4 linked regions of the Stegostoma tigrinum genome follow. The protein of the gene in region 2 interacts with the protein of the main gene of each other region in a biochemical or structural test. Links are inferred from orthologs where the notes say so. Each region holds a gene or a part of one and is shown on either strand. Other genes may lie near its edges.

Region 1 (7,845 bases), on a different chromosome or scaffold from region 2:
AGTGGGCAAAAACCTGGCAGATGGAGCATAAAGTGGGAAAATGTGAATTTGCCAACTTTGTCATGAAAAAGAGAGAAGTGGTATGCAATTAAATTGGTAATTTGCAGAACTGCGCAGTACAGAGGCATCTGGGTGTCCTGGTACACAAGTCACAAAATGCCAGTATTCAAATACAGCAAATTTTGAAGAAGGCAAACGAAATGTTGTTCTTTATTGCAAGGGAATATAGAAGTAGGGAAGCTATACCGCAAGCTGTATGGGGCCTTGGTCAGATCTAAAGCATTCTGTACAGTTTAAACTCCTCATTTGAGAAAATTATTGCTAGATCATTAGATCCGAAGCAATTCAGAAAAGGTTCAACTGACTAATTCCTGGGATGAAAGTTTAACTTATGGAGAAAAGTCAAACACATTGGCCCTACCCCTGAAACTTGAAAAGATGAGTGGTGATCTATTTGAAGCTATAAAGGTCCTGAGGGGTCTTGATAAGGTGGATAAAGGAGGATGTTTCTAATTGCCGAACAGACTCCCTTCAGGAGACACAGCTTAAAAACAGGAAGCCTGCGTTTTAAGATGGATAGGAAGAAAAAAGTTTTTTATCAGACAATCGATAGTTTGTAATGTGCCCTTCCTTAGAAAACAGTGGACGTTGGGTCATCAAACTTAATCAAGACTGATTAATTTTTGATAGTCAAGGTTGTCACTCAGATCACCCATGATTTTTTTGAATGGTGGATCAGATTCAAGTAGCATTACAACTGTGGCCACATTTGAAACATGTATCACTGGCCGCAATGTCCTGGTGTGAACGTGAAAGTTGTGAACAGAATGATTAAAATCATTTGATTTTACTTGAGCAGTGAGAAGCAAACATTTTCCTCCCAGTTCCTTCTCATTCACCCAAATGATTTGAATCCTAGTAGGCACTGATGCTCAGTCCATCCTATACAGCTCATAAATTAAATGAAATCCAAGCTCTGTCATTAGATACAGAACCAACTCAAGATGTCAGAAATCTCAAAACATTTTGTTTGACAGACAAGCAAAATCTATTAATTAAAAATACTTTGAGACTGTGGGACTTAGTGGTCATGTAGTGTTACCTGGCAGAACATAGATCCAAACACTATGGATTAGTTTAAACAGGAATGGGAGGACCATCAGCATCTTAATTCAATTATGACTAATCTGGATCTCATTCCATCTACCCACCTTTAACCCATTTTTCTCAATATTCTTACCCAACAAAAATCAAATTGACAGAAAGAAAAAGAAAGGTTATATTTTAAATTAATGATCTTTCATCACAGCATATGCTGCCAGACCACTGTGTACTTGAATTGGTTTCTGTTTCTATTTCAGATGTTCGGCACCTGCAGCATTTTACTCCTGAAAATATAATCTACGTCAGTCTTGAAATTTACAACTGACCTCCAAGCATGACATCTTTTTGGAGAAAAAGTTCCAGCTTTTGTGTGAAATGCTTCCAGACATCATGCCTGAACAATTTAGCTCTAATCTTAGGGTTACGCCCCCTTGTTCTGAACTTCCCCAGAGGAAACAGTTTATCTCATTCTGCTCATATTGAGGCATGCTGAGGGTGTGAAAGGCTTATATAATTTAGATTAGTATATTTGCAGTTCTTTGATCACCTTAAGTATATCTATATTACCTCACTCTCATAATTATAATCATAAAACACTACAAACTTAATCTTTCATATTCAATGGAACACAAGCCAAAGTTGTAAACTCCAGGACCAGAAGATACAATACTTTAGACATCTCCCTCTCCATCCTCTACCCTGTACGTAAGGGACAGTGTTCACGAAGAGCAGCTAGAGAACCAAGAGATAATCAGTACAATGTTATAAGCCCCAGGAGAGAAGAGAGCCCTAAGAAAGTAGTGTCCCTTTTGGTGTTTGGGAGCTTTATAGAGTCTGTGGGTGAAGGGTAATAGGGGATTCACTTTGTTGCCAGATGTTTGTGCGTGCGTTTTGGGGTGGGAGTTTGCTGATATGGCATACAGTTCCTGATCTTCAGGTGGCTCAAGTGCAGTTCTCAGGGTGACGGATATGGACAGGATTAGGAGTACAGAACCTCAAGTTTAGCAATAGTGAGCTATGTCTGGACATGTGGGGTACAGGCACCTCGTATCGGCTGTACTTGGGTTAAGGGGATGGTGTTAAGGAGTGTGGGAGGGCAGTCAGATCTCCTTCAGCATGTTAACACCACAGAGCCTCTGGCACCCCATCTATGAGAATGTGGGATCTAGACATCCTGAATGGGGTAAGGAGAGTTGGGGAGCAAGACAGCCCAGAGCTGGAAAAGGACAGCGAATGATGCTGGAAGATCCCACTCTTGAGTGGGAATGGGGAGTGGAGTGGGAGAGGCCAGATCCCCACAGATGAGGGAGTAAAATAGATCCCCAGATCCCCTGGGGCGGTGCGGACAGAAAGGGACAAGACCTGTTGGGATCTGGGTGGCATTGGGGTAGAGGTATACACCGATGACACAGGTAGACGTCGGGATTGTTTTTGGGCGGGGGAGGGAGGTCAGCACCGCCAGGTTTACTCACCCTGTCGATAGATCCAGGCACCAGGCGCTCCAGGAGGCGACACAAGACCACCCCGTCCCTCAGGGAGCTCTGTAGGAAAGCCTCGGGGTCCGACACTGTTTTCTTGGGGGAATCCAGGACCCCGAGTGTAATCAGCCAAGTGACCGTCTGCTCAGCGGAGCTCATCGCTACCGATCCCCATTCACCGGGAGTGCAGGGATCCGAGCCTTGGGCCCCGGGACAACAGTCCCCTTTTCCTTCCCGGGCCCCGGGACAATCCCCGCCGCCGCCTTTTCCCAGTCCCCGCGGTTCACTGCTTCCCGAGGTCCCAGCTCCGAAGCGGCGAGCCCGGCATCACTCGGTACTGATAGAGCCGGTGTGTCTCGGAAGGGACGGCTATCGCCTGGGATCTCTCTGATCCCGTAACCTCCCTCCTTGCCCCCGGGGCGGCTCTCTTTGTTTCTCCGGGACGATCGCGGCTCCGAACCTGCCGCCCACTGCCGCCGCTCAGACTGAGCCCGAAGCCGGGTCCTGCCGCCCTCTAGTGCCGCCCGAGACCCAGCAATAGAGGAGGGCCCGGAGACCCCGACACCCGACAATTACACCCCCCCCAACTCGACAAATACCCCCCCAACCCGTCAATTACCCCCCCCCACTCGACAAATACCCCCAACCCGACAATTACCCTCCACCCCGACACCCAACAATTACCCCAACCCTCGACAATTTCTCTCCAACCCAACACCAAACAATTACCCCCACCCCGCCACCCGACAATTACTTCCTACCCCAATAACTTGCCTCCCCAAATCGACAACTACCGTCCCCACCCTGACAGTTACCCCCAACCCAATCCAACATCCATCCCCGACCAGATAACTAGTCCCTTCCTCACCCCAACAATTAACCCACCCAGACATCTACCCCTGGAAACTTACCCCGGGGTAGTTAACGGTAGTTAACATCAACTACCTCACTCGAAATAACTTCCAGTATCTCACTCCATACCCCCAAAACCCCGGCATCTCACACCCCCTCCACATCTCCCACACTCGCAACATCTAACTCCCCCACCCACATCTCATCTCACACTGTCCCCTCTGTATGGACGTTCAACCCAACCATCCCCCCCCCCCCCGCATACTTCCTTTACCTTCTCAGACCCTCCGTACCACCCATTGTCTACATATTTCCCTTTACCATCGAGGCTGTCAATGCTGGGCTGTTCACTATATGCAAAGCTGAGATAAACAGATTTTTAGTTAGTCAATATAACAAGGATTATGGGGAAAGCCAGGAAAGTGATATTCAAGACTGTCAGATTAGCCATTCAACATCCTGAGTTACTGTTGACCTGAAGCTTAACTGTACAAACCATACAAATGTCAACATGAACAGGCTATAGGCTAAGAATTCCCTGGAGACCAGACTCAATGGGCTCGACCACATAATCCAATGCTTTGTGGACGCCTCTCCACTCTCTCTTTCCTACCCACTAAGACATTTTCCTTGTTAGTCATCTCCCCAAAATAGAAATCCTCATCATCTCTGTCCTCACCGCTCTCAAACTCCTCCTGGTCATCCTCACCCTTAACCCTCCAAACCCCGAAACAATTCTCCCGTCCAAAACCCCAGTCCTCTTTCTCTTCTCTCCCCCAACCCCCCAGAAATGTTTATGAGTTAGACCAGAGACCAGTGCTAGTTCTTTTCCTGATCTAATTAGGAAACATTGTGTGGTGGTGAGTTTAAAGTTAACAATGTAAAGGGTAGAAAGAAAAACTCAATAAACCTGATACTTTTAGCTTGGCACCAAACCTCTAGATTGTTGTAAATACTCAACTGGCTGAATGCCATGGAGTTCCTCCTTGGCCAGTTATGAACAAGGAATGAATGCAAACTTGCCACAAAGGAATAAAGTTCTAGATGACTATGTAGAGTGAGAATCAGGAACTGTGTGAGATGACTTTCGCCTTCCCAATGTCTGGTTGGAGTAGGCTAGAGAACAATTGTATTGCACATGTTATCGTTAAAGGAATTTTATTTTCTAAAAAAAATCTCATGGGATGTGAACATTTCTTGCTAGGACAACATTTCTTGCACCAACTCGAGAAGTTGATGCTGAGCTACCTTCTTGAGCTGCTGAAGCCCATGGTGGTGGGTACACCTACTGTGTTGTCAGCCATTGAGTTCCAGGACTTTGACTCAATGGCACTGAAGAAACAGTGATTTAGTTCCAAGTCAAGTTGGTGTGTGCCTTGGAGTGAATTTCCAGGCAATCTTGCTCTCATGCATCCACTACCGTTATTCCATGTTTTGCAGGTTTAGAAGCTGATGTGAAAGGAGACTTAGTGCATCTTGTAGATGGTACATACTGCTGGTATGGTGCATTTGTGGTGAAAGGAATGATGGGATGCCAAGCAGGCAGCTGCCTTGTCAAACTTCTTGATTGTTTTTGGAGTTGCACTTATCCAGTCAAGTGGAGAGCAGTCCATTAGACTTGTCCCATGTAAGCAGGCTCTTGGAAGTCAGGAGGTGAGTTACTCACCAGGGAATTCTTAGTCTATGACCTCCTCATGTTGGCACTATTTGTATGGCTTGTACAGTTAAGCTTCAGGTCAGTAGTAACTCTGAGGGTGTTGATTTTGCAGGACTCAGCAATGGTAATACCATTGAACATCGAGGATTAATGGTCAGATACTTTCTTGTTAGAGACAGCCATAGTTTGGGACTTGTGTAGTGTAAATGTTTATCAACCCAAGCCTGAAGTGTTGGACATGTCTTTCCACATACTTACGTGGGCTGCTTCAACAAATTGTGAATGTTGCTGAACATTGTGCAATCATCGGCAAACATCCCCACCTCTGACCTTTTGATGGAGGGAAGCAGCTGATGCCTTTTGATTTAATTTTAATGGGGCTTTTTTAAAATTTTCAAGTGTCCCTTTCACAGTGTCATGTACACCTTCATTAGGTGATGCAGTGAGTAGTAACAACAATAATAATTGGTAACAGTATCTTCTATCTTCATGTTGATATGCTGAGGATTTAGATTCGCACACAGGCAGAACTCAAATTTTCATGATTATCCCCGATTAAATTTATCCCCCATTAAATTTAAAATTTTAAGACTCTTAAGGAAAATATTACTTTCTTGGACATCTTGGTATTTAAATTGGCCCTAGACATAAATTGGCAACAAGTATTTTTAAAATATAAAACTGACCCACTTCTATCCAGAAAAAAAAGCCATCAAACGAAACATGCTTTCTGCAGATGGTGGCATGGTGGCTCAGTGGTTGGCAATGCTGCCTCACAGCACTAGGATTATGGGTTCAATGCCAGCCTTGGGTGACTATGTTGAATTTGCATGGGTTTCCTCCCTGGATATGCAGATTATGTGGATTGGTCATGGTAAATACAGCGATGGGCTGGGGCTGGGTGGGATGCTCTTTATGAGGTTGATGTGGACTTGATGTGCCAAATGACCTCCTCCTGCACTCTCGGATTCTATGGTGAGGTCACAAGAAAACCATTATATGTTTGTCTCCAACATGGCCTCAAGTATTTCCCAGTAAGTGAAACACTTTGAGGTATGATAACACATAAATGTCAGTCTTTATGAAATTAAACAGTACAGTATTAAACAATTGACACAATATTTATTTCACTTTCCCCCCCACCCCACCCAATGCAGCAGCCTTAAAGTTTCCACAATATTGCAGGAAATTTATGATTTGATAAATGTCAAGTAACATTTCCATCATACAAGCCCCAGGCTATAGCTTTCTCTAACAAGACAGAATCTGACCATTCATCCTTAACGTTCAATGGTATTACCAACATTGAATCTTCCAAAATCAACAATCCTGAGGATTACCATTGTTCAGAAAATAGTGTTTACATGAGCAGGTCAGACATAAGGAATTCCCCAAACAGTAAATTGTTTTATTCTCATGTTCCCATTTAGGACAGTATATCTTTCTTGAAATGTTTAAAAGTGTTTCTTCCCTTTGCAGCATTTCTCTCCCATTTTGTACTTTTTCCAACCTTTGGAGGGTCTTTCCCCCATCACACATACACACACACACCCACCTCTCTCAAAACTTTACAGCCTCATTTCCTCCAGGCTTTTGGCTTGGCTGCACAGGTCCTGGTATCACACCCACTACTGAGAGGCCTCTCTCACAGTCTTGCTGGCTTTGCTCACTGACATCACTCCCCGCCTGGCCAGCATAGTTTCTATTCTGTCCACTAGCTCTGCCACTGACCTCATTCCTCCAAATGCAGGCTGATACCCTCCCACATTTGCTGTTGATGGACTCACTGTGAACTTAGCAGCAGTAAGCTTGGGAGAGAGCAGCCTGTGATTGAAGGAACAGTTCCCAACTATTTCCTTCCATTCTGTTTACAGGTGTGTCCTTTCTCAGATTGGCCAACCCCATGTGTGGCTTTCCTAAGCATTTTGGGATTTCTGGGTCAGATCAACACCCCAATATAGTTTGATTGCTGCCTCCAATGCTGACAACCACCTTCCATTATGCATGTACCTCTGCAATCTGTGTTGTCCTGATTCCTATTAAAGACCTACAAATTAACAGCAAGAGTAGGCCATTCATCGACATTCAATAAGATCATGGCGAATCTGTTTCTGTTCTGAATTCCAAATTCCCATCCATCCCCAATGACCTAAGACTCAGCTGCCTAACAATAGTCTTTGCCTTAAAAATATTTAATAATTCTACCTCCATTGTTTTCTGAGACAGAAAGATCAAAGCTGCTCAAAACCTATCACTATCCTAAAAGGATGACCTCATATTTTATGTGTCCTATCATCCCAATCTGAAAAAGACTCATTTTGCACACACTTTGTTTCCTGCTAGTTTAACTCCAGTTTTGTTATCACTCCTTGACACCATACTCAGTTAAATGATACCTTGATGTCAAGGCCAATGACTCTCAATGCACCTCTTGAGTTCAGTTCTTTTGCCTATTTTTGGACCAAGGCTGTAATGAGGTCAAGAGCTCAGAGTTCTGGCAAAATTCAAACTGAACATCAATGAGCAGGTTATTGCTGAGTAAGTGTGACTTGAAAACATTGTTGCTGTCCTCTTTCAACTATACTGGAACATGTGGCTAATTCAGGAGGATGACCTTCAATATTATAACCATTTTAGCCTTTTTAGCACCAGGTTCCTCTAACCATTTCTTGATATCATGTAGAGTGAATCAAATTGGCTGAAGACTGGCATCCATGATACTGGTGTCCTCCAGAGATGGTTGCTTCCACTCAG
Region 2 (7,305 bases):
TAACCTTGGTAATGACAGATATTAGCTTGACTCACTTCATTAAAAAATTGTCATAATTTGCTTTAGATTTTGTTCTTTCATAAACTTTGATTTTCTATTTAAAATCATAGACTTTGGACAGCTGACAGGTCTAGAGAACAAGGCTAGTCATAGTGAGCAACTTGGTAGGAAGACTGAGGATTGGAATTCCAGAATGTATTCTCTTGTCAATCTTCTTTCACTGCCACCTCCACCATCATGATTCCTGTTGCACAATTTGTACAACAGATCTGTTGCAGCTACAGAAGTAAACAAGCAAAGGGTTTCTTCCCTTCACTAACACTCCACTCTAGTAAAAGACTAATAGCCTTTTTATTTCTAAAATTCAAAAAGAGTTGAGAAAGCTTATTTAATATATGGTAAATGTGGAAAGATATTTAAGGTTTTTTGCTTAATAGCAGCTACCTTTCAGGTGTGTAAAGGTTTCTCCTTCTCAACTTTTCTGAGGCGTGGTGACCCTCAGGTTAAACCATCACCAGTCATCTCTCTCTCATCACGAGCAATCATATGGACTGATAAAGACAATGGAGACTTTACCTTTACCTTTTTACCTTTCAGATGGCATATTACATTCAGATCCTGCTTGGCAAAATCTGGTAGTTGCCAGGACGTACAACTTTCTTACCAGGCATCATCAGGGTGCCAAAGTGTATATATTACATGATTCACCAGAGTCTTTGGCTTGATTACAGCATCGTGGTCAAAACACCATTCATAGTTCAAGTGCATAAGCAGGAGAGTGAAATGGTGCTCAAGTATTTGAGAATCATTATCCTTTTCAGGTACTTTGAGTTAGACTGTCATGTTTCAGGTCGCAAAGTGATAGCACTAGACCTACACTTAAGTTTGTGCATTACACAGCGAGCAATGACAGAATAGCTATTATTCCACAGGTTGGTTTGATGCATCCTACTTTGACCTCAAGCTTGAACAAATGGTTTAGGGTCCATATACAAGATTCCTGAATGGACCAATTTTACTGTGTACAGCAATGTTGAACTCCCAGCAGAAATTCCAGCACCTCCCATGGAATGTTTGCAACAGAGCGCCACCTATATTCAACTAGCCTGCGCTTGCAGAAATCAGAAGATAATGTTTAATGCTGGATGTAGTCCAGTGATTGCTCAGTAAATGCTGTCCAATCTTGAGTGCACTAAGAATTATGCAAGCAACCAATTTAAAGATCATGAGTCAGTCTTAAAATGTGGCTCAGGTATGCTTGATAAAAGATACGTATTCATTTGCAGGAAAACAGATGTCCAAGCATTTCCTTTTTTAAAAATTCAAAAGTGTCAGGGAACAAGATTTTCTGGATACCTTGACCAATTAGAGTTGATTTACCAGTCAAAAGCAACTCTTCATGTGCATTATAAATTGTCATTCATTTTGAAATGGAGTGTTCTTGTCTTGCTGTCTTCGGGAGTGTCTCAAAAATCTTTTGCAGCTTTTACTTTGTTTTCCGCAATATTCAAGTCCTAAACTAGGAAGGAACAATCTGAACTTCATATCTTCTGGTATTTGCACACAGGCATGATTGTAACTTTAGCAGATTTATATAAAAACCCAAGATAACAAGGTGTAGAGCTGGATGTACACAGCAGGCCAAGCAGCATCTTAGGAGCAGGAAAGCTGACGTTTCGGGGGTCTAGGCCTGAAATGTCAGCTTTCCTGCTCCTAGGATGCTGCTTGGCCTGCTGTGTTCATCCAGCTCTACACCATGTTATCTTGGATTCTCCAGCATCTGCAGTTCCCATTATCTCTTATATAAAACCCAGCTGGGTCACAAAGTCCTTTTAGAAAAGGAAACAATATGCGGTTTGGACCATATGTGGTTCCAGTCCCACAATAAGTCCTTGACTAAATCTCCACCAGTGCTTTCACATGCAAGGGTAGAAGTCGAGGATAAAGTTAGAGATAGCCTCAAATTATTGAGTTCTCAACTAACCTTCTTTCTTAAAAATAATAAACAGTGATAGTTTTTTGAATTTTTATTGCGTTCCTGTCAACTGAACCGCATCAAGCAGCCAGCGGACCAACCCAACTGGGAAAAGTTTTATAGCGGCTAAACTAATTTAACATTGCTATCTGTGTTGTCACATATGCAGAGTTCTCACAAAGGCCTGCAAAAGGCCAATGTTGTGCTGTTCAAGTGTTGTTCGATATAGGGTATTTGCAATATAGCTGACAAGTCTATTTAAGTATTCTCAGATCCTGTCTCAGTAGAGGAGTAACAGTGACTTATGTACTTAAAATGTAGTTGAGTCCAGAATATTTTAGTAAGGGGAAAGTTCCAATGAGAGGCACATGATGTTCAGAGAAAGTATTTGGCAATTAACTTTTTAAACAAGTTGAGGAGTGAGGAAGGGGCGTGCGTCACTCTTGTCCCAGCGGCATGCACAAGTGACCAGCTGATTCAGGTCGCTTAAGTTCTGGAAATCAATACATGCCAACCGTTTTCATAAAACTTTTCCTTCAGTTGGACTGCAAAAACAAATAGTATGGATTCCTTTAACACTCCTATATTGAACTTGGCTGGTGACAAGTCAGGACGAAAATAAAACTATCAATCTGCACGACTCGTTGCAGTCATAGAACCAGACGTAAATAAACAGCCTACCTGTTGGATACTGGCAATTTCGGTGAACGATTCGAGAGCCACCAATAACGGCATGTGGACATTTTTATTTCCGAATAAAATCGAAGCTGTTTAAGATGTAAACAATCAGCACTTTATGTCAAAATGTGTCCATCCCGTCTTCCGATAACGGATTTTTGAAACATATAATTTCTTAGACGATTACTTACCATTTTGAACAGTAGTGAGGAGAATCAAGTCGTCTAAAATCTGAAGCAAAGTGCTGATTTCTTTTCCTTGCTCGACATTTTGGAGACGAACGATTAACTTTTTCAGGTTTCCCTCCAGTGGTTCCGAGTCCGCCATGGTTAATCGACTGTTCTAATTTTGACCGCTTTTCATGTTTGATCGTAGAAAAATAAATATCTGGTTGGCTTGTGAGAACGACCAGTCTTTAACCCGTCGGTTACTTCGTCAGCAGTGGTCACAGTATGACTGCAATACTGGCCGTTCAAAGTGAAAAATCAGAAATGAGTTACGGAAGTTTCAGTCCGCGGGGAGTTTCCAAAAGTAACTTTGCTTCATCACCCGGGTGCTGCTGTCAGTAACGTTGAGTGTGCCCTTCTATGACTTCTTTTTCAGCGAAAGTTCAGCCTCACTTGTTTCTAAAGATTAAGTCGGTATTAGTGTTTTTGAGAAGTCCAAAGCCGACCTCTAGGCCAGACCGACAAAAACTGCAGGGAAGACACTCCCTTGGCCGCAGCCCCAAAGCACATTTGGCAATTTGCCATCCAGCCCGCTATCATGAGTCGACCCTCAACTAGTTATACAAAGTTATTTTTGTTAATGCCTGACAAAGGAAGGAACCGTCATGCTGAAAACTCAGTGGTCATTCTGTCAGGCTCCCGCTGCCACTACACTTATTCAAACAAAACATTTTTGATAAAGCTTCTGAAATGTACAAATCTTGGTTTGAGCATATAATCCAGATTGAGGCTAAAATTCCAGACGTGTAATCTTGCCATAATGAAACGTTGATATATGGAACCTCTCAGTTACATCCAAAAGATCCCCGGGAATTATTTCAAAATAAGGGGGCGTTCTGCCCTATTGCATGGTCAGCGTTCATTCTTCTATTAACATTGCTCCTGATAGATTACCAATACATGTCATATATCCTCATGACTACTTTTGTAAAAAGTGTTTTATTGACCAGAAAGCACATTATGAAAACCTAAGGTCATGAAAGGCATTATACAAATATGATTTCCTACTTTCTTTAATAATTCATTTATTCTCCAAGAAGAGAAAAAAAGTTATAAATTCGTTGATAAAATAACTATATTGAGAAAGGAATATAAAACTCAACCAATCAGAGCTAGGTGTCAGATACACATGCTAAAATCGTATAGGAATTCTACAAGCCTCCTACAGAAATATCAAAATCCTCAAATATGAAAAAAATGCAAAACAGTCGTCCCAATCTATTCAATCCCTCCATCAGGTCCACCAGCCCAGCCTGAATTAGCACATAATGTATACATGAATCTTTGCTAAAACTTCAAATACAATGCATAGTAACCCACCATCTGATTGTAAGCAATGTGAAGAAGTGAAAATAGAATCTTGAAAGCTGGTGGAAGTTTCAACATGGAAGAGCATGTGTATTTGGGAGTGGATGGATTGCTAGAAACACTGAAAGTGACAACGCAATAAGAAGCCATCACCAACCTCTGGCTTTCATATTTAACCATGCTTGATTCTGTCTAAGCAATTATTATAGTAGTTCATTTCCTTTTGCCAGATTTGGTAAAAGAAAAGTCCCTTCCTGGTTAACCATTCCTATGATTTGCTGCAATTCCACAGTATTTCAAAGTGGTGGGACAGCATTGATGGCTGTAACCTTCTGTGGGTCAGACTTAATGCCTGTTGCATGAAGAATATGAATCAAAATGTATTTAAATATCACTGTCACTCTTCCATCATGTTCCGATGAAGTGGATCGGTGAATTAGAATGTCATCCCTATGACAGTTAACCCTTTTTAATACTTCTATGGTGTCAATAATTTTCTGGATCAATCTCTGGAATTGATATAGTGCTAAGGGTAGATGATTAAAACAGTGTCTCACAAACTGCGTGATAAACTTATGCATAGGAGCAGGCTGCATGCCCTTTTGAGCCTGTTCTATAATTTATTAATGATGTCATAACTGATCTGTTTATAACCTCACATTCATATTACTGCCAAAGCCTGATAAACTTTCACCTCATTTCCTACAAGAATTAAGCCACCTCTGTCTTAAAAATTCATTGCCTTTTGGGGTAAAATGTCCAAATACTCACAACCCTGTTGAGAAATTTTTTTTACCTCATCTCTATTTTAAAGGGGCAAGCCTTTATTTTTAAATAGTGACTCCCTTGGCCTAGATTCTCCTGTTTAAGGCAGCATCTTCTCCACATCTACTCTATCAAGACCCCCCAGAATCTTACATGTTTCAATTAAGTTGCTTCTTACTGGTCTAAGCTCCAGTTGATGCAAGCTTAACTTGTCCAACCTTTACTCATAAGACAACCTGTCTGCCTGTTCCAAGTATTAGGTAAACCTTTTTTGATCTGCTTCCAACGCATTCTACCGCGTTCCATAAATAAAGTAACCAATTCTATATACAGGACTCCAGATATGGTTCCACCAATGTCATGTGTAAGTGAATGGAATAAATTATAACATTCCATTAAATTTCTTAATTACTTGCTGTACCTGCATACTAACCTTCTGTAGGTCATGCAGTAGGACACACAGATCCCTCTGCATATCAGAGCTCTGCAATCTCTCACTATTTGAATAACATGGGCTGATTTTGTTTTTGGCTGTGTCAGGGCTGTGCAAGATTTTGGAAGGTTATTCGCTGCAAAATGTAAGAAGTACCCTCATTGTGTCTGAACAAACTCACCTTTTTAATTACCTATTGTGTTCTATGGCATCCCTTAGGTCCAATTTCAACCCCATCCTACCACACACTTCTCTTGGACCAACTCATCATGAATGAAAATGTATTTAAATATTGCTTTCACTCTTCCATCACATTCAGTTGCAGTGAATCAGTGAATTAGAATGTCATCCATATGGCGGAAGAACCAGCATTCCTTGTGAGCATGCTATTTTTGAAAGGCTGCAATGCAGCTAGTCAAGATTTGGCAAGTACTCCTCACTGGCACGTATATAATGGCATAGCAGGCACAAAGTCATGCTGGCCAAGGCACATAGCCAGCATGTCTGATACACCCTCACACATACAACCCCATTCTCTCAACCTAGGTGCTGTTTAACCATCATGCCATATAATTCATCTGTCCCAAGATACATCTTGTCTGAACAACCTCTCTAAATCAGTGCTATCCTGTCTCTAATGCCCATTGTAGGCCTGCAACTCATCATTGTCCAGTAGGGGAATATCACATTGGGGCAAGGAATCACGTGATAATGAGGCATCTTGTCTGTAATTTCCTGCTTTCTGACTCCCTCCCGTTATGAAATAAACAATTACATGAGTTATCTTCTAATCTAATAGGACCTTCCCTAAATCTAGAGAGTTTTAGAGAATTGAAACCAATGCATCAATTATCTCACCAACCACTTTTTTAGAACCATACGATGAAATCTATTAGGATCCAGGAACTTGTCAGCTTGCAGCTCCAAAACTTAATTGTAATCATAATTTTACTGAATTCCTCCCTCTCTTGCATTTCTTGACTTATAAATCTTCCAGAATATTACTTGCATCCTCTACAGTGAACATTCATTATAAAATACCTGTTCAATTCATCTACCATCTCTTTATTTTTCATTATCAATTCCCCAAACTCACTTTCTATAGAAAAAAATTGTTATTTTTTTAAAGCAAGACATAATACTTAACAAGTTTATTCACAAATGAATAATAAACAAAGGAGAGCTGTAAATCATGTCCATGATTTCTGGGTAACATGGTGTGTAATAGTTTTCTGTAAATTGTAGATAGTTTCTAACCAACATGTTAGAGGTATTATTGTTCACCTCTGGAACAAGTGTTATTGCTTCCTTTACTTGTATAATGTTGTGTAATAGTAACCAAATAAATCAATACTAAAGTGGAAATGCTTGTGATCAATCTGAAGTGCCAATCATGTATAAACAAAAACCTTCAATAAGAGCATGAAACGTCACTAGGGGGCGTTATTAAAATTGAGAACCAGGAAAGGAAGCAATGACTGTACTATTTCTGTGGCTTAAATATCTTAACATTAAGTAACTCCAAATTTTGTCCAGTCCTTTAATGTTTCGTGTGAGTTCATGTATACCACGAATTAAACATTGTTAGGAGTGCAGACTAAGTTATGGTAGAGCAACTTATGTGTCTGCACTGCAGTATTTGGGACTTCATGGAAAGAAGGACTGCCCCGCGTGAATATATCTGCGGGAGATATTTCTGAATTGGAGAAAGATAATAGGATTTGCCCAGAGTCAAAGTCATTGAGTGCATTTGAAACAATGCTGATGTTGAAAATAGGAAACCTGTGCTTAGGGATCAACCGGTGAGAGATAATTTGAAATGTAGGTCAGCACCAATGGATTAGAACTAACAGTGCATACAAACATGTGGAAGAAAAAATGCTTTTAGATTGGTCAGAGTTAAGATTTACGGCATTAAT
Region 3 (8,026 bases), on a different chromosome or scaffold from region 2:
GAGGCTGGAATCGAACCCGGGTCCCTGGCGCTGTGAGGCTACAGTGCTGACCACTGAGCCACTGTGCTGTTATCACATCACTAATATGGCTGTCCAGGGACAAAAACTGAACCCCTCACCCCAATCCCTGATCCAAAGGGGAATTGTTCATATTTTTAAACGGTGTACTCTTCCCTGAGCAGAGATAAACTGGGCCCTAATGGGGAATGATTGCCAAGATAACAAAGTGTGGAGCTGGATGAACACAGCAGGCCACGCAGCATCTCAGGAGCACAAAAGCTGACGATTTGAGCCTAGGCCCATCATCAGACAGGGGGATGGGAAGAGTTTTGAAATAAATAGGGAGAGAGGGGGAGGCGGACCGAAAATGGGTAAAGGAGAAGATAGATGGAGAGGAGAGTATAGTTGGGGAGGACGGACAGGTCAAGGAGGCGGGATGAGGTTAGTAGGTAGGAAATGGAGGTGCGGCCTGAGGGGGGAGTAGGGGATAGGTGAGAGGAAGAACAGGTTAGGGAGGCGGGGACAAGCTGGGCTGGTTTTGGGATGCGGTAGGGGGAGGGGAGATTTTGAAGCTTATGAAATCCACATTGATACCATTGGGTTCCAGGGTTCCCAAGCGGAACATGAGTTGCTGTTCCTGCAACCTTCGGGTGGCATCATTTATGGCACTGCAGGAGGCCCAGGATGGACATGTCGTCAAAGGAGTGGGAGTGGGAGTGGGATGATTGCCAAGAATGGTTCTAGCCCTCTCATTCACAGTGGCTGGGTTTGAATGAGTTAAAGCCTACCCCAGAGATCGATTCTTAATAGAGACGAGCAAGATTAAAAATGACAATTTTTGGACCACAGGGGAGAGGTGGTTTGTGAAGAGATGGCTTGAAACAATTTATGCACGTTTACCCCACACCCGAGCACCAAACCATCATCTCCAACACCATTCATGACCTCATCACCTCAGGGGACCTCCCACCCACAGCCTCCAACCTCATTGTTCCCCAACCCTGCACAGCCCGTTTCTATCTCCTTCCCAAAATCCACAAACCTGCCTGCCCTGGTCGACCCATCGTCTCAGCCTGCTCCTGCCCCACCGAACTCATCTCCACCTGTCCGGACTCCATTTTCTCCCCTTTGGTCCAGGAACTCCCTACCTACGTCCGTGACACCACCCACGCCTTCCACCTCCTTCAGGACTTCCAATTCCGTGACCCCCAACACCTCATTTTCACCATGGACGTCCAGTCCCTATACACCTGTATTCCGCATGCAGATGGCGTCAAGGCCCTCCGCTTCTTCCTGTCCCACAGGCCCGACCAGTCCCCCTCCACCGTCACCCTCATCCACCTAGCCGAACTCGTCCTCACCCTCAACATCTTCTCTTTCAATTCCTCCCACTTCCTATAGACTAAGGGGGTGGCCATGGGCACCCATATGGGCCCCAGCTATGCCTGCCTCTTTGTAGGTTACATGGAACAATCCCTCTTCCGCACCCACACAGGCCCCAAACCCCACCTCTTCCTCCGTTACATTGATAACTGTATCGGCGCCGCCTCTTGCTCCCCAGAGGAGCTCGAACAGTTCATCCACTTCACCAATACCTTCCACCCCAACCTTCAGTTCACCTGGGCCATCTCCAGCACATCCCTCACCTTCCTGGATCTCTCAGTCTCCATCTCAGGCAACCAGCTTGTAATTGATGTCCATTTCAAGCCCACCGACTCCCACAGCTGCCTAGAATACACCTCCTCCCACCCACCCTCCTGCAAAAATTCCATCCCCTATTCCCAATTCCTCCGCCTCCGCCACATCTGCTCCCACGATGAGGCATTCCACTCGCGCACATCCCAGATTTCCAAGTTCTTCAAGGACCGCAACTTTCCCCCCACAGTGGTCGAGAACGCCCTTGACCCCATCTCCCGCAACACATCCCTCACACCCCGCCCCCGCCACAACCGCCCAAAGAGGATCCCCTCGTTCTCACACACCACCCCACCAACCTCCAGATACAATGCATCATCCTCCGACACTTCCGCCATCTACAATCCGACCCCACCACCCAAGACATTTTTCCATCCCCTCCCTTGTCTGCTTTCCGGAGAGACCACTCTCTCCGTGACTCCCTTGTTCGCTCCACACTGCCCTCCAACCCCACCACACCCGGCACCTTCCCCTGCAACCGCAGGAAATGCTACACTTGCCCCCACACCTCCTCCCTCACCCCATCCCAGGCCCCAAGATGACATTCCACATTAAGCAGAGGTTCACCTGCACATCTGCCAATGTGGTATACTGCATCCACTGTACCCGCTGTGGTTTCCTCCACATTGGGGAAACCAAGCGGAGGCTTGGGGACCGCTTTGCAGAACACCTCCGCTCGGTTCACAATAAACAACTGCACCTCCCAGTCGCAAGCCATTTCCACTCCCCCTCCCATTCTTCAGATGACATGTCCATCATGGGCCTCTTGCAGTGCCACATTGATGCCACCCGAAGGTTGCAGGAACAGCAACTCATATTCCGCTTGGGAACCCTGAAGCCCAATGGTATCAATGTGGACTTCACCAGCTTCAAAATCTCCCCTTCCCCCACCGCATCCCAAAACCAGCCCAGCTCTTCCCCTCCACCCACTACATCCCAAAACCAGTCCAGCCTGTCTCTGCCTCCCTAACCGGTTCTTCCTCTCACCCATCCCTTCCTCCCACCCCAAGCCACACCTCCACTTCCTACTAACCTCATCCCACCTCCTTGACCTGTCCGTCTTCCCTGGACTGACCTATCCCCTCCCTATCTCCCCAACTATACTCTCCTCTCCACCTATCTTCTTTACTCTCCATCTTCGGTCCGCCTCCCCCTCTCTCCCTATTTATTCCAGTTCCCTCTCCCCATCCCCCTCTCTGATGAAGGATCTAGGCCCGAAACGTCAGCTTTTGTGCTCCTGAGATGGTGCTTGGCCTGCTGTGTTCATCCAGCTTCACATTTTATTATCCACGTTTATTTTCAGTTGCTTTTCAGCATGGTTCATAAAGACGTCAAGAACAAAGACATCAGCAAAGAAGGAAGCTCTCTGTGAACGGGTGCTATGCAATCTTGCAGGGCTGCTTCTCCTTAAAACAATGCATTCGGCCGCAGTGAGGGTTGGCCGAACATTTTCATCGACATGCACTGTCCTCATGTTTTCAAAGGTCACTCGCAGTTTGCATTCAGCGTCCCACCCCACGCACTGGAAAAGGCCCCGACCTCGGGTTTGCACAGACTTAAAGCAGGTTTCCTGCCGCCTTTAGCACCAGAGCCTACCTGCGCTGTACGCCCTGACTGCATTGGACCTGGAGGCACGGAGAGAAAACGCAGCCGCCCTACACAGAAAAGACATTGTTGCCATTCTCTGCGTGGGATCCACCTATGCCTCTGTCCCAGATCTGTGAATATCGCGATAGCCTAAGCGCCACCCTTCCCCGGGAGCTGTCAATCACCCGATCTGGGCTGCGCACCACCAATTGATTGCAGATTAATCCATTCATTTTTGTCGCCGCTGTAACTCCTCAGTCAACGTCGTTTACACGCACAGTCATCTTAAATTTTAACAACAAAAAGACAATGCATCCATGCATAAAACCATGATGAATGGTACATTTGGTCCTTGATTAGGAAATCTCACCGAAATGCAATCACTTGCCAACTCTGCTGTAACTGATTTGTACAAGGAGTGTGGTAGTTGCACTGTCTCTAGCCGGAAGACCTGTGTTCTAACTCTCTAAAGAGATGTGACAAAACCTCAGAACGAGGTTGTTCAGAAAATATCTGCGTTTAATTGATAGCTCCCCGCATGTTTCCACTTTTGGGCTTGTTATTTCAAAAGACAATAGACAATAGGTGCTGGAGTAGGCCATACGGCACTTCGAGCCAGCACCACCATTCATTATGATCATGGCTGATCATCCACAATTAGTATCCTGTTCCTGCCTTATCCCCATAACTCTTGATTCCACTATCTTTGACAGCTCTATCTATCTCTTTCTTGAAAGTATCCAGAGACTTGGCCTCCACTGCCTTCCGGGCAGAGCATTCCATATATCCACCACTCTCTGGGTAAAGAAGTTTTTCCTCAACTCTGTTCTAAATGGCTTACCCCTTATTTTTAAACTGTGTTCTCTGGTCCTGGACTCCCTCATCAGTGGAAACATGCTTCCTACCTCCAGAGTGTTCAATCCCTTAATAATCTTACACGCCTCAATCAGATCCCCTCTCATCCTTCTAAACTCATTTCACTAGAGTGAGGCTATTTCCTTCACATTTGATATTTTAATCTGAGCCGTGTTGTTCGCCTTCCCCGTCAGGATATTTTCCTAACCGTGTGAAAAAGATGCTGCTTCAGTCTTTCTCCTGTGGTATCGTACTGATATTTCTGAGTTGAAAGCAAGGTTGGGAACTGATATGCATTTGAATTGACCAGGAACAATCTAATGCGAACACTGATCTTAGACTCACAACAGCAAAGAAGAGGCCATTCAGTCCATCATGTCCATACCAACATTCTATCAAACAATCAGCCGGTCTCATTACACTCTCAGCCCACTCTTCATCCACTGCAGGGATAGTAGGAACTGTGGATGCTGGAGAATCTGAGATAACAAGGTGTAGAGCTGGATGAACACAGCAGGTCAAGCAGCATCAGAGGAGCAGGAACCGGCTGTGTTCATCCAGCTCTACACCTTGTTATCTCTTCATCCACTGCAGGTTATTTCCACTCCAACCCTCACCACCCTGCCCCCGGCCAAGACCTCATCGAATTTTTCTTTTGATATTGTTGATTTTAAATGTATCCAAGTACCATGAACGCACAGCTGGTGTTTCTCTTTCCCAATATTAGAGTCATTTTCAGATCAACAGCTCAAACAGCATAATGATGCCCATTATGTACACAGGGACAGGGTGAGGGGAAGGGGTTTCTGCAGTCTGTGCTTTTGGATTAGATGTTGCTTTTAAACACAAATGGAATTAGGGGACAGCATCTCCTTTGAGACTGTTTGCCTGAGAGCCCTGTCAGCGAGTTAGAGGGGTTTATGCTTTGGGATGTAATGGCTTTCTTTTGACTGTGCCAGCTCCTTGTTTTCACCCTTTATTAAGAATGCCTGTTTGCCTCCCCTTTTTCGACAAGATCTGGTGTTGTGCATCTTAACTGAATTGGAAGAATCTCCTTCCAGAATACAAGGGTGAATAACAAAAATACATTTAAAATAACTCAGTAACTCATCAGACTGATTCCCAGGATGGCAGGGCTAAGAAATTAAGAAAGATTGGATCAACTAGGCTTGTACTACTCACGGGAATTTCGAAGAATGGGGGGATGATTTCACAGAAACATAAAATCCTGATGGGGCTGGACATGCTAGATGCGGATGTTCCTGATGATGGGGAAACCCACAGCTAAGGGTCACTGTCTAATAAGGGGTGTGCCATTCAGGACTGAGATGAGGAAGAATTTCTTTACTCAGAGACCTGTGAACCTGTGGAATTCTCTCCCACAGCAAGTTGTTGGGGTCAGTTCATTAGATATATTCAAGAGTGAGCTGGGCATGGCCCTTGCAGTTGAAGAGATCAAGGGGTGTGGAGAGAAAGCAGGAATGGGATACTGAGATTGCAAGATCAGCCATGATTATATTAAATGTTTGTGCAAGCTTGAAGGGCCAAAGGGCCTAGTCCTGCTCCTATTTTCTATGCATCTATGAACTGGAAGTGTCACTGCACTGAAAATGTTAAGTGTGCTTGCTTTTCATAGATGCTGCCAGACCTGCTAATGTCTCCAAAAATTTCTGGTTTTATTTCAGATTGACAGCATCTGCAGTTCTTTGTTTTGCTTCTAGGATATTAACAGAAATGCGGAAGAACTAATCACTTCCTTGTGTCAGGTCTCTTCAAAATACGCCAAAAACAGTGCCACTCTGCTTTTGAGATAGCAAAAACTGCTGATGCTGGAGTCAGAGATAATACAGTATGGAGCAGGCCAGGCAGCATCAGAGGAGCAGGAAAGCTGACGTTTCAGCTGAAGAAGGGTCCTGACCCTAAACATCAGCTCTCCTGCTCATCTGATGCTGCCTGGTCTGCTTTATCAACATGTACATAATTCTGCCTGGCTACATAACCAATATGACTTATTTTACATTTCAAATGGTAACCTTCCTAGCTTACAGTACCTTGTATAAGTTCAAGAGATGCTTGACTATCTGCTGGGAAAAATTAAGGCCAAATCCCAACTGGAATTGTCTGAACCTCACAGAGATGTCAAAAATTGCAGGAGCTTTATTTAAAAGCAAAAACAACTTCGTAAAACTATTGGAGTTGCCATGACGTGATAGCCACCGATTTTTCTTTACAGTGGCCCCTCCAAATTTGAGTCCAAGCCCAGAAAAATCTATGCTTTATGACCCTTTAGGACCTAAAAGACCCTTTATCATTCTATAACACCTTGCTTCACCATTACATAGAAGGTCTAATGAGCATAAATAAGCATGAACATTCTTCCAGAAAGGCAAATGTAGCCATCAGACATTGCATGAGGGTAAATAGTCTAAGGTTGCATTATCTTTCTCTTTCGTTTTGGATGTTGGTTGACAGGAAAACCAAATGTAGTAACCTCCCCGAAAGCCCTTTCACAACATACAGCTGCAATCCTTACACTCTGTCTCCTGTACAATATATCATGCTGCTGTGTGACTGACTACAGCAAATGTCTCATTGTTGGCCTGGCCAGGTCTGGTCCTCATAGGCTGAGGGCAAGATGCTTCATGCTTCACCTGGAGCAGTAACTGTCTTCAGATTGTTCCAATCATCAGAATTGAATCAAGGGTGAGAGTCCTACAGAATGCCTGAAACCATTCAAAGACTTTGTCAGACCTTAGACCTTAGAAACTAGAGAAGTTGGTGATGTAATAATAACAGCCACCAGCCTAGTAATCCAGATAATCTGGCTAATGTTCTGGGGAAAAGGATTCAAACCCGGTGAACAAAAATCCAGAATTGAAGTAGTGATCTTTGCTGCTTGCTGTAAAAACTCTCTGGTTCACTCATGTTCCTTAGGGAAGGAAATGCTGACCTGGTCAGGCTCCAGACCCACAGCAATGTGGTTGCCTCAGCATTACCTTCTGAAATAATTGTACGAGCTCATCCTACAAGGGCACTTAGGGATGGGCGACAAAGCCCTTGCCAGCCATCCCCATATCCCATGGAAGCCTTGTTTAAAAAAAACAATGTCTACACAGGAAACTGATATTTAATAAAGAGGCCCTGGGTTTGGAAATAGAACAAGATGAATCCAAATATACAGAAGAGTAAACACCGGGCTAAAATAACCCAAACAATGTAAAATAAAATAGATCTGCACATGTATTTCAGACAATTCTTCCAGTAATGGCGAATAAAATGTGAAGAGATTTCATTATCAAGGCGGAGATGCGTTTCTTTCTCGTAACTGTAACCCGGGGGATATGTAGCACGTCGTCGTTACAAAGCCCCTCCTACTTGGGATTTGCTTTCTTTGTCTCTGTCTTTCATTCCTGTTTTGGTGGTACCCAGTCAGTTCATTGCATTCATAGTCTGCTCTAAATTCTTGCCGGCAAATCCGGTGACATTGCAGGGACCGGTTTCACTTCAGGACTGTCCCTGGTTTGAATCATAATCCGATTAGGATTTGGCGGTGTGCCGAGGAGGAAGGAGGTACACAGAGAGAGGCGAGCGAATTAAGTGTTCGTCCCGCGCCATTGACTGCAATCCAGCTCGGCGGTCACACTGACTCTAGACCTTGCCAGAGGTGAGTACACTACCGAGCTTTTCATTTAGGAGTGGGTAAATAGGGTTTGTCAAACAAAGACAGGGGATAATGGCAGTTCTGAAAACAAAAAAAACGATTTACAAAAGGAAAAAAGAATATGCCACGCTCGATTTATTCAAAAACAATGAACTCTAGTAAAACAAATCCTCAAGCAATTACACAATGAATAGTGTATGTTAGATTCGGATCCAAACTGCGATCATC
Region 4 (7,579 bases), on a different chromosome or scaffold from region 2:
TTGAACAGGTTGTGAAGGTGCTCAAAGCAGAAGACAAAGGCAATGTAAATAGTGGTAAATGAGAGACTGAGATGAAAAATGTGTACAACTGAAGGCTTGAAAATGTGAAAGTGGGTCTACTGTGCTGAGTGCAAAGCCAACAAGACACGTCCAGGAATGATGGTTTTTGGGGCATGTAAGAAAAATGGAGGATAGAGGTCATATTCTGAAGATATGGAAATTTGCCCGAGCAGAAAAAGCTTACACTGGGGCAGTCCCAGGATGGAAAAAATGAACAGGGACTCAAGGTGGTTTATTGAATTGCCAAAAAAACTAGAAGGTCGGGGCCATTCTAGAGACAGAGCTGATTTATTTTGCAAGACTGGTCCTGTCTCAGCCAGTCTGTGTTTGCCCTGGCAAATATAAAGGAGACAGCATGCCAGCAGTGAATACAGTAGACGAAATTGAAAGAAGTACAAGTAAAATGCTGTTTCACCTGGAACATGGGTTTGGCACCTTGGACAATAAGGAAAGAGGATGGAAATGGGTAAATGGTACACCTTCTGTGTTTGCATGAGAAGATGCCACAGCAGGGTCTTAAGTGCAGGCTGGAGGGGGCAGCTGTTGTTTTGGAAGGGTGAGCATAGAGGAGTGGACCAGGGTGTCACATAGGGGATGGCATTGGGGGATGCTGATAGTAAAGAGAAGGGGGAGATAAGTTTGGTGCTGGTCTCTGGCTGGTAGAAATGGTGGAGAAGATCCTTTGAATGCAGAGACTGGTGGAGTGGAAAGTGAGGACAGTAATATCCAACACCATTTTCCCACCAATAACTTGCTAACTGATGCTCCATTTGGTTTAATCAGGACATTTTGGGGCCATACCTCATTATAGTTTTGATCCAAGATAGAAAATAAATTTGAATTCCAGGGCTTTGGGACTACTGTCCTCAATATCAGAGGAACACTTGAGAATGTGTGGCATTGAGGAATGCTCACAAAATTGAAGTAAATAGGAATCGTGGGCAAACTCACCATTCATATTTTGCCTTGTACAAAGGAAGATCGCTGTGGTTGTTGCAAACTAAACTTCTCAACCCCGGGATATCTCAGCAGGAATTCCTCTGGGCAGCGTCCTCAGCTCCACAATCTTCAGCTGCTCCATCATCGACCTTGTCATAATCATAAGCTTAGAACTGTGTGATGTTTGGTGACAAGCTCTCAGATACTGAAGTAGTCTTTGTCCATATGCAATAAGACTAGGAAAACATCTTAGCCTGGCAAGTGGCAAATAACTTTGATGCCACTCAAGTACTAGGCCGTAAAACCTTCCAAATATATCTATCTCTAACACACTGCCTGACCACTTTCCCTCTTTATTCAATGACATCACTATTATTGAATCCTCATTATTAGTGGTAGTGTATTACCATTGACCAGAAGCACAACATAGCACAAGTCAGAGGTCAGGAATTCTGGGTCAAGCAACTTACCCTCCCACCTCCAAAGCCTTTCGAATATTTTCACAGGGCCTTAATTTGATTGTTATGGAATACTCACCACATGCCTGGATGGATAAAATTCCAAAAACATTCAAGAGGCAGATGGGCCTATTTTAGTTCAGAACCATGGTCGGCATGAACTGATTAGACTGAAAGGTCTGTTTCCATGCTGTATGACTCTATGACATCTTGGAGAAAGCAACCTGTTTGGGTTGCTTCAACTCCCCTAAATATATACTCCATCCATGATTGACATAGCATGTTCCAAATACAAATTGCATTTCAACAACTCACCAAATGGCACTTCCCATGCCGTCAACTTCTACAACCTGTAATGACAAGGACAAGCGACACATGTAATTATCACCTGCAAATTCCCTTCAAGTTGTACACTTTGGCAGCAGCTATACTGAACACAGTGCAGAGATTCCCCCACCTTAGACTGACTTCAATTTTGCTATGGCTACTTAATGCAGCACTGAAACCAAATGTTCCCTTAATATAAAAGTAATCAGCCTCACTTCATCTCTGGAACTCAGCTCTTTTGTTCATGTCTGGTCCAAGGCTGTAATGAGATCTGGAACCAAGTGAACTGGTGGGAGCCAAACTGAGTTTCCATTAACAGGTTATTGGAAACGACAGTCATGGCTTTTCTTCCCACTCCTGCACAATTCCTTCTGGTGTTTTCCAAGCATCTATCCTTGCTGTCTACTTTTTTTATCCCCATGCTGCCCGTCAGCAACATCATCAGAAAACACTGCATCAGTTTTCACATGTGTGCTGAAGGCACACAATCCAACCTCATTAACACCTTTCTCAATTTTGCTAATGGTTCAGAGTAAACCAACAGTTCAGGATTTGGTTGTGTTAGATTTACTGCTTTTCTGTGGACAAAACATTCTGGGCAACTTTCCATAATGCCAAATAGATGCCAGTGTTCTAGATGTTCAGCACTGGAATGGCATGACTAAGGACAAAGCTATTTCTACCACAGATAACAAGGTGTGGAGCTGGATGAACACAGCAGGCCAAGCAGCATCTTAGAAGCAGGCAAGCTGACGTTTCGGGCCTAGACCCTTCATCAGAACCCGAAACGTCAGCTTTCCTGCTCCTCAGATGCTGCTTGACCTGTTGTGTTCCTCCAGCTCCACACCTTGTTATCTCGGATTCTCTAGCATCGGCAGTTCCTATTGTCTCTATTTCTACCACATAAGTCTTTGGTACTACTGCTGAAATTTTGTCACTGCAATTTTACCTTTCCTGTATTCAATGCCCTTTTTTTAATGAAAGCACAAAATAGGAACATCAGGAAAAGTTCAAGATGGATCTTCCACTTACTCTTGTGGCTGAAGATGGTTGTGAACAATTCAACATTGCTTTTTCACACTCACATAGCTTTAAATTGAGGGGTGAAAGATATAGGACAGATGTCAGAGGTAGTTTCTTTACTCAGAGAGTAGTAAGGGAATGGAACGCTCTACCTGCAACGGTAGTAGATTTGCCAACTTTAGGTACATTTAAGTCATCAAAGGATGAGCATATGGACGTACATGGAATAGTGTAGGTTAGATGGGCTTGAGATCAGTATGACAGGTCGGCACAACATCGAGGGCCGAAGGGCCTGTACTGTGCTGTAATGTTCTATGTTCTACATGCTTGACTGTCTCATACTGATGATGGGGATATTGTAGAGTTTTTTTTGTCATTTGATTGGTCAATGCCATTCATGACTATAATAAAACGGAAATGCTGCTTATGTTGTAAATGGAAATTAAAGAAAACGAGTTGTTGGGAAAAATGAACAAGGCTGGCAACATCTGTGAAGAAGAAAACAAAATTAACATTTTGAACCATTGATTCTTCTTTGGAAATAATCAGGTATGTTCATACCTGTATGTGACAGAACTACAGGGCTTTGAACTGGTTCCTTATAAATAGGGTGCTTGACACTATTTCTTGAATGTTGCCTCCTCTGTTTCACATTCATGTAGTTCTGTATTGCAGCTTGGATGAGTTGACATCTCCCTTTCAGATATGATTGGTGCTGCATCAGGCAAAATCTTTTCATTGACTAAATTTGGTCCCCCAATTTGATGGTAATGGTGAAGTGTGATATGCCAGGCCATGAAGATACAATTATGGTTGGATGCAATTTTGCTGTTGACAATGGTTCACAGTGCCATGTTGTGTGCTGTAGATCTGCTCTGCATCTATTCCATTCAGCATGGTGGTGGAGATACACAACTGAGTGGAGATATATCCTCAATGTGAAGATGGGACATTGTCACTACAATGACTGTGTGGTGGTCACTCTGACCAATAGCATCATAGACAGAACTTCCCATGACATAAATAACAAGTACATCTTTGATGTATAACAAAAATGTTTGTCTTGTGTTACTCAGGGTTCTGCTGATTTTCTATAAAGTGGGATGGACAGGTGAAGGTGTGGACAGGTATTTGTTTTCCTCTTGTTGGCTCCCTAACCACCTAGTCTAAATCCAATCTGGTTTATATCTACTTAAGGACTGAGTCAGTTTGGCTAATGTTGTTGTTAGAATTCTTGCACCCAAAGTACGTTTGTGGCCCTACTACCTTCAGCATGTCTTTCATCTGACATTCAACGTTGTGGGGAGAGGGGATTGCATGGGTGCTGACTGTAATCAACAGGAAGTCTTCTTGTCTGTATCTCATGGAGATCGAAATGTATTTCGACAACTCGCAGGCCCACACTTTCTTGACCCCATACCATGGTGCCATCACTCCTGCTGGCGCCTAGAGCACTGGATGGTACGGTTCCGTGAGTTTCGCTATAATAGTTAGTTGCTCGGCTAGTCTGTGGGACAGCTCTTCAATGTTTCGACCTATATGCCCGCATACATGTCTGTCTGACTGCAACGAAATCTATCTCTGCATAATACAGACACCAAGCATTGTGCACCGCTGGAAGAAACGACTGTATAGAAATAGATTGTCTCTATTTTTAGCTGTCAGTGCGGATTTAATTCATCCTCATCGCTGGCGAAACGTGGCTGTGTCTTTAAGAGAAGCTGACGTCAGGTTGGGTCCGGATATCCTGGTTTTGCCGATAGTAATTTAATCCTGGAGTGAGATGAGAAGGAGCCGCGAAGGAGGCGAGAATAACCCTGTTTGCAAATAAGCGGCCGAACAGGACCGCTTCCTTTTTCTGCAGGAACCATGTCTGTGGCGGGACTGAAGAAACAATTCCACAAGGCTACTCAGGTAGGGAGATAGCTGCTGCAGCTCCGACACTCTCTGCCCCACTGCACCAAAGCGGTTTGAGCTTCAGTCCAAGCTTCGTCCCTGTCGTGCCTCTGTATTCTTAACCACCTTCCCGTTTTACAAGAAGTAATGATAGAATCCCCGTCTCGCTTCATGTCCCAAACCCTCCGGGGCTACACAACGCCGATTAATGAAGCAATGTCATTGTGTAGGTCGGGTCAGGCAGGATTCCTGTGGCGAAATCTGGGAACTTTGATGTTTCAGTGAGTGTGGGGCTCGCTGTGGGTTGATTTGCCAATGAGGTCTCGACAGAGGCGTTTCATTTTAGGGGAGAAGGGGTGGTGGTGGGAGAGAAGGGTTTTGAGCCTCCGTTTTCCCCGGGATGTTTGCGGGATCGCTGCGGAAATCATTTATTATTTAGTCCCCGGAGTGAGCCGCGTCGCAGCTTCTTTCTGGGTCTGTTGGAAGAGTGGCTTTCCAATGCCCTCAGTCGGCTCCAGGTCGCTATTGCGGAAATCCAGTCCTTGCTGCTGTCCCCCACCCCCCACGAGCAGTCTCCTGATCTTGGAATCAAGGAGGAGAAATGTCCTCTGAACAAGACCAATTTGCTGCTGCTGGTTAGATCGGCTCGCACCTCATTATAATGTTGATTTTTATATGATCTCAACACGTAAAACACCGCGGAAATAATTAATTTGATCCTGCCGCTGTCAATTGTGTATTGAGCATCCCAGCCATCAACAATTCTGTTTTGAGTTTCACCGCGCCTGCAATATTCTCTCTCTCTCTGTGTGTCTTTATTTTGAAATAACAGCCTCTTTCATCAAACGTCACGATCTTCGCCTCAGCTACTTTGGGAGAAATGTTCATTCCTCTGTCAGCTGGGCTGACCATTTTAAAGATTTTTCCCCTGTTCCCGGCTCTCCTGCATACTTACAGCTAATCCTCAGCTTGGAAGTTGAGGCGCCTGTTTACTGTCACTGACTCTGACTCTCTGGGTTTGAGACTTGGGGGACACTGGCACCGAAGCACATGGCAGATGCCTGCTGGCGGGTAGTTTGAAGAAAGGTGGGGGGGGGGGAGTGGGGAGCGAATCGGGGGAGATTGAGGAAAGATGCTGCAAGCATTTCAGTAGGTCACGAGTATATTAAGGATGGGACCGGTCCTGGGCACAACTGAATTACACATCCTGAAAGATGCATCGCTGCTGCTTCTCGATTTGAATTATTTCTTCCCATTGTCCTGCTATTCTCACCACCCCCCCCCCCCCCCCGCCCCCGCTCCTTCCCTCCCTCTTCGCAGCCATCAAAATTTCCATTTACTCTGTCGGACTTCAGCTTGCAATTTAACGTTAATATTTGCAATTATCCTGACAATCTTGGCACCACTTCTAAAGCATTTCCGTTCCAGGCTGGAATTCAAGTTCTGGTCCAGCATTTTGACTTCACTCCGGGCCTGATTCCAGGCACTGAACGTACGGCTTTTCTGTGCACTGGATGTAAATGGGTGACCAGAATTGGAATGCTGTGTTCGATATGCAGCATAACTAGAGCACTCTGCAGCTGCATTGAGACTCTGGGACGACTTACTGTCATATACAGCTAGTTTTGTAGAGTGCCCTGTTTCTGTTGAACGTGTCGTTGAGATGAGGGCGTTTTTTTAAACTCCAGAGATAACAATGTGGAGCTGGAGAAACACAGCATGTCAGGCAGCATCCGAGGAGCAGGAAAGTTGACATTTTGGGTTGGGACTTTTCTTCAGAAACGGATAGGGGGAAGGGAGCTCCGAAATAAATATAGAGAGGAGGGGTGGGGCTGGGGAAGGTAGGTGGAATGGGTGATAGGTGAGTGCAGGTAGGCAGTGGTGGGGCTTGGTCAGTGAGGTGGGCGGGGCAAGTAGGTGGGAGTGAAGATGGACAAGTTGTCAAGTCAAGGAGTTTGTATTAGGTCTGAAGAAGGGTCACCGGATCCCAAACATTAACTTTTTTTTTCCTTCACAGATGCTCCCAGACCTGCTGAGCTTTTCCAGCAACTTTGATTTTGTGTCAGGTCAAGGGGGCTGGGATGAGAGGGAGGGTTGGTCATGGGATGAGGCTGGGAGTGGGGAGATTTTGAAACTGGTAAAGCCCACATTTAGACCATTGGCCTGTAGGCTCCCAATCCGTTTCACACTATCTGTTGCCCCAGCACCATTCAGGGTGATCAGTCCTTGTTTGCACAATTTTCAATTGCCTGTATTAAATCTCATCTCCCATCTGGTCCAAATTTTCTCTGATTTCTGACTTGTCTTTTACAATTCCACCTCTCCTCCTAGCATGTGCTCATATGTGACATTGACTGCTATTTCCATGTTTCCAAAACCAGTGTCATTAATGTCAACGAGAAACAATACTGAATCCCCAGAGTCCCCACTGAGCACTCACTTCTATTCATATTCCATTTTGATTACTACCCTTGTGCTTTCTCCCCGAGTCTCTGCGGGTTTCCTCTGGGTGCTGTGGTTTCCTCCCACCATCCAAAGATGGACAGGTTAGGTGGCTTGGCCATGCTAAATTGCCCATAGTGCCCAGGGATGTGTAGGTTTACGGGCATAGGGTAGGGTGTGGGTCTTTGAAGGGTCACTGTGGACTGAATGGCTGCTTCCACACTGTAGGGATTCTAAGTTAGAATTCCCTCATGGTTCAGTGTCTCATACGTACCAGGTAATGTTTAGCAGAGCCAGCTGCAAACCTCTTCTTACTATGGGAGCTTTCAAAGTGTGCTGCCTACTGTTTCTATGATTGAATGGCTCAAGTGATAATGCTACTTTCCCCATCCCACAATGTACAAATCACCAGCTATGTTAAACTAGCATTGTGA

What was found.
Region 1: of the proteins of lrrk2 (region 2) and rho guanine nucleotide exchange factor 7-like, one has a biochemical effect on the other in vitro, tested with the Homo sapiens proteins (2 studies listed by BioGRID and IntAct). The link is inferred for Stegostoma tigrinum from reciprocal best matches to the Homo sapiens genes LRRK2 and ARHGEF7.
Region 3: the proteins of lrrk2 (region 2) and echs1 interact on a protein array, tested with the Homo sapiens proteins (2 studies listed by BioGRID and IntAct, with this or other methods). The link is inferred for Stegostoma tigrinum from reciprocal best matches to the Homo sapiens genes LRRK2 and ECHS1.
Region 4: of the proteins of lrrk2 (region 2) and endophilin-A1, one has a biochemical effect on the other in vitro, tested with the Homo sapiens proteins (2 studies listed by BioGRID and IntAct). The link is inferred for Stegostoma tigrinum from reciprocal best matches to the Homo sapiens genes LRRK2 and SH3GL2.

Annotation. Positions count from the first base shown.
Region 1 is NC_081359.1:13,986,289-13,994,133, forward strand, and holds the start of rho guanine nucleotide exchange factor 7-like, read right to left. Parts: upstream 3,138-7,845; 5' UTR 2,742-3,137; coding exon 2,577-2,741; intron 1-2,576. UniProt on the Homo sapiens protein: Acts as a RAC1 guanine nucleotide exchange factor (GEF) and can induce membrane ruffling. Functions in cell migration, attachment and cell spreading. Promotes targeting of RAC1 to focal adhesions. May function as a positive regulator of apoptosis.
Region 2 is NC_081378.1:38,590,467-38,597,771, forward strand, and holds the start of lrrk2 (leucine-rich repeat serine/threonine-protein kinase 2), read right to left. Parts: upstream 3,361-7,305; 5' UTR 2,981-3,360; coding exon 2,845-2,980; intron 2,743-2,844; coding exon 2,657-2,742; intron 1-2,656. UniProt on the Homo sapiens protein: Serine/threonine-protein kinase which phosphorylates a broad range of proteins involved in multiple processes such as neuronal plasticity, innate immunity, autophagy, and vesicle trafficking.
Region 3 is NC_081390.1:11,735,388-11,743,413, reverse strand, and holds the start of echs1 (enoyl-CoA hydratase, mitochondrial), read right to left. Parts: upstream 3,434-8,026; 5' UTR 3,377-3,433; coding exon 3,292-3,376; intron 1-3,291. UniProt on the Homo sapiens protein: Converts unsaturated trans-2-enoyl-CoA species ((2E)-enoyl-CoA) to the corresponding (3S)-3hydroxyacyl-CoA species through addition of a water molecule to the double bond.
Region 4 is NC_081356.1:23,525,633-23,533,211, reverse strand, and holds the start of endophilin-A1, read left to right. Parts: upstream 1-4,378; 5' UTR 4,379-4,676; coding exon 4,677-4,721; intron 4,722-7,579. UniProt on the Homo sapiens protein: Implicated in synaptic vesicle endocytosis. May recruit other proteins to membranes with high curvature. Required for BDNF-dependent dendrite outgrowth.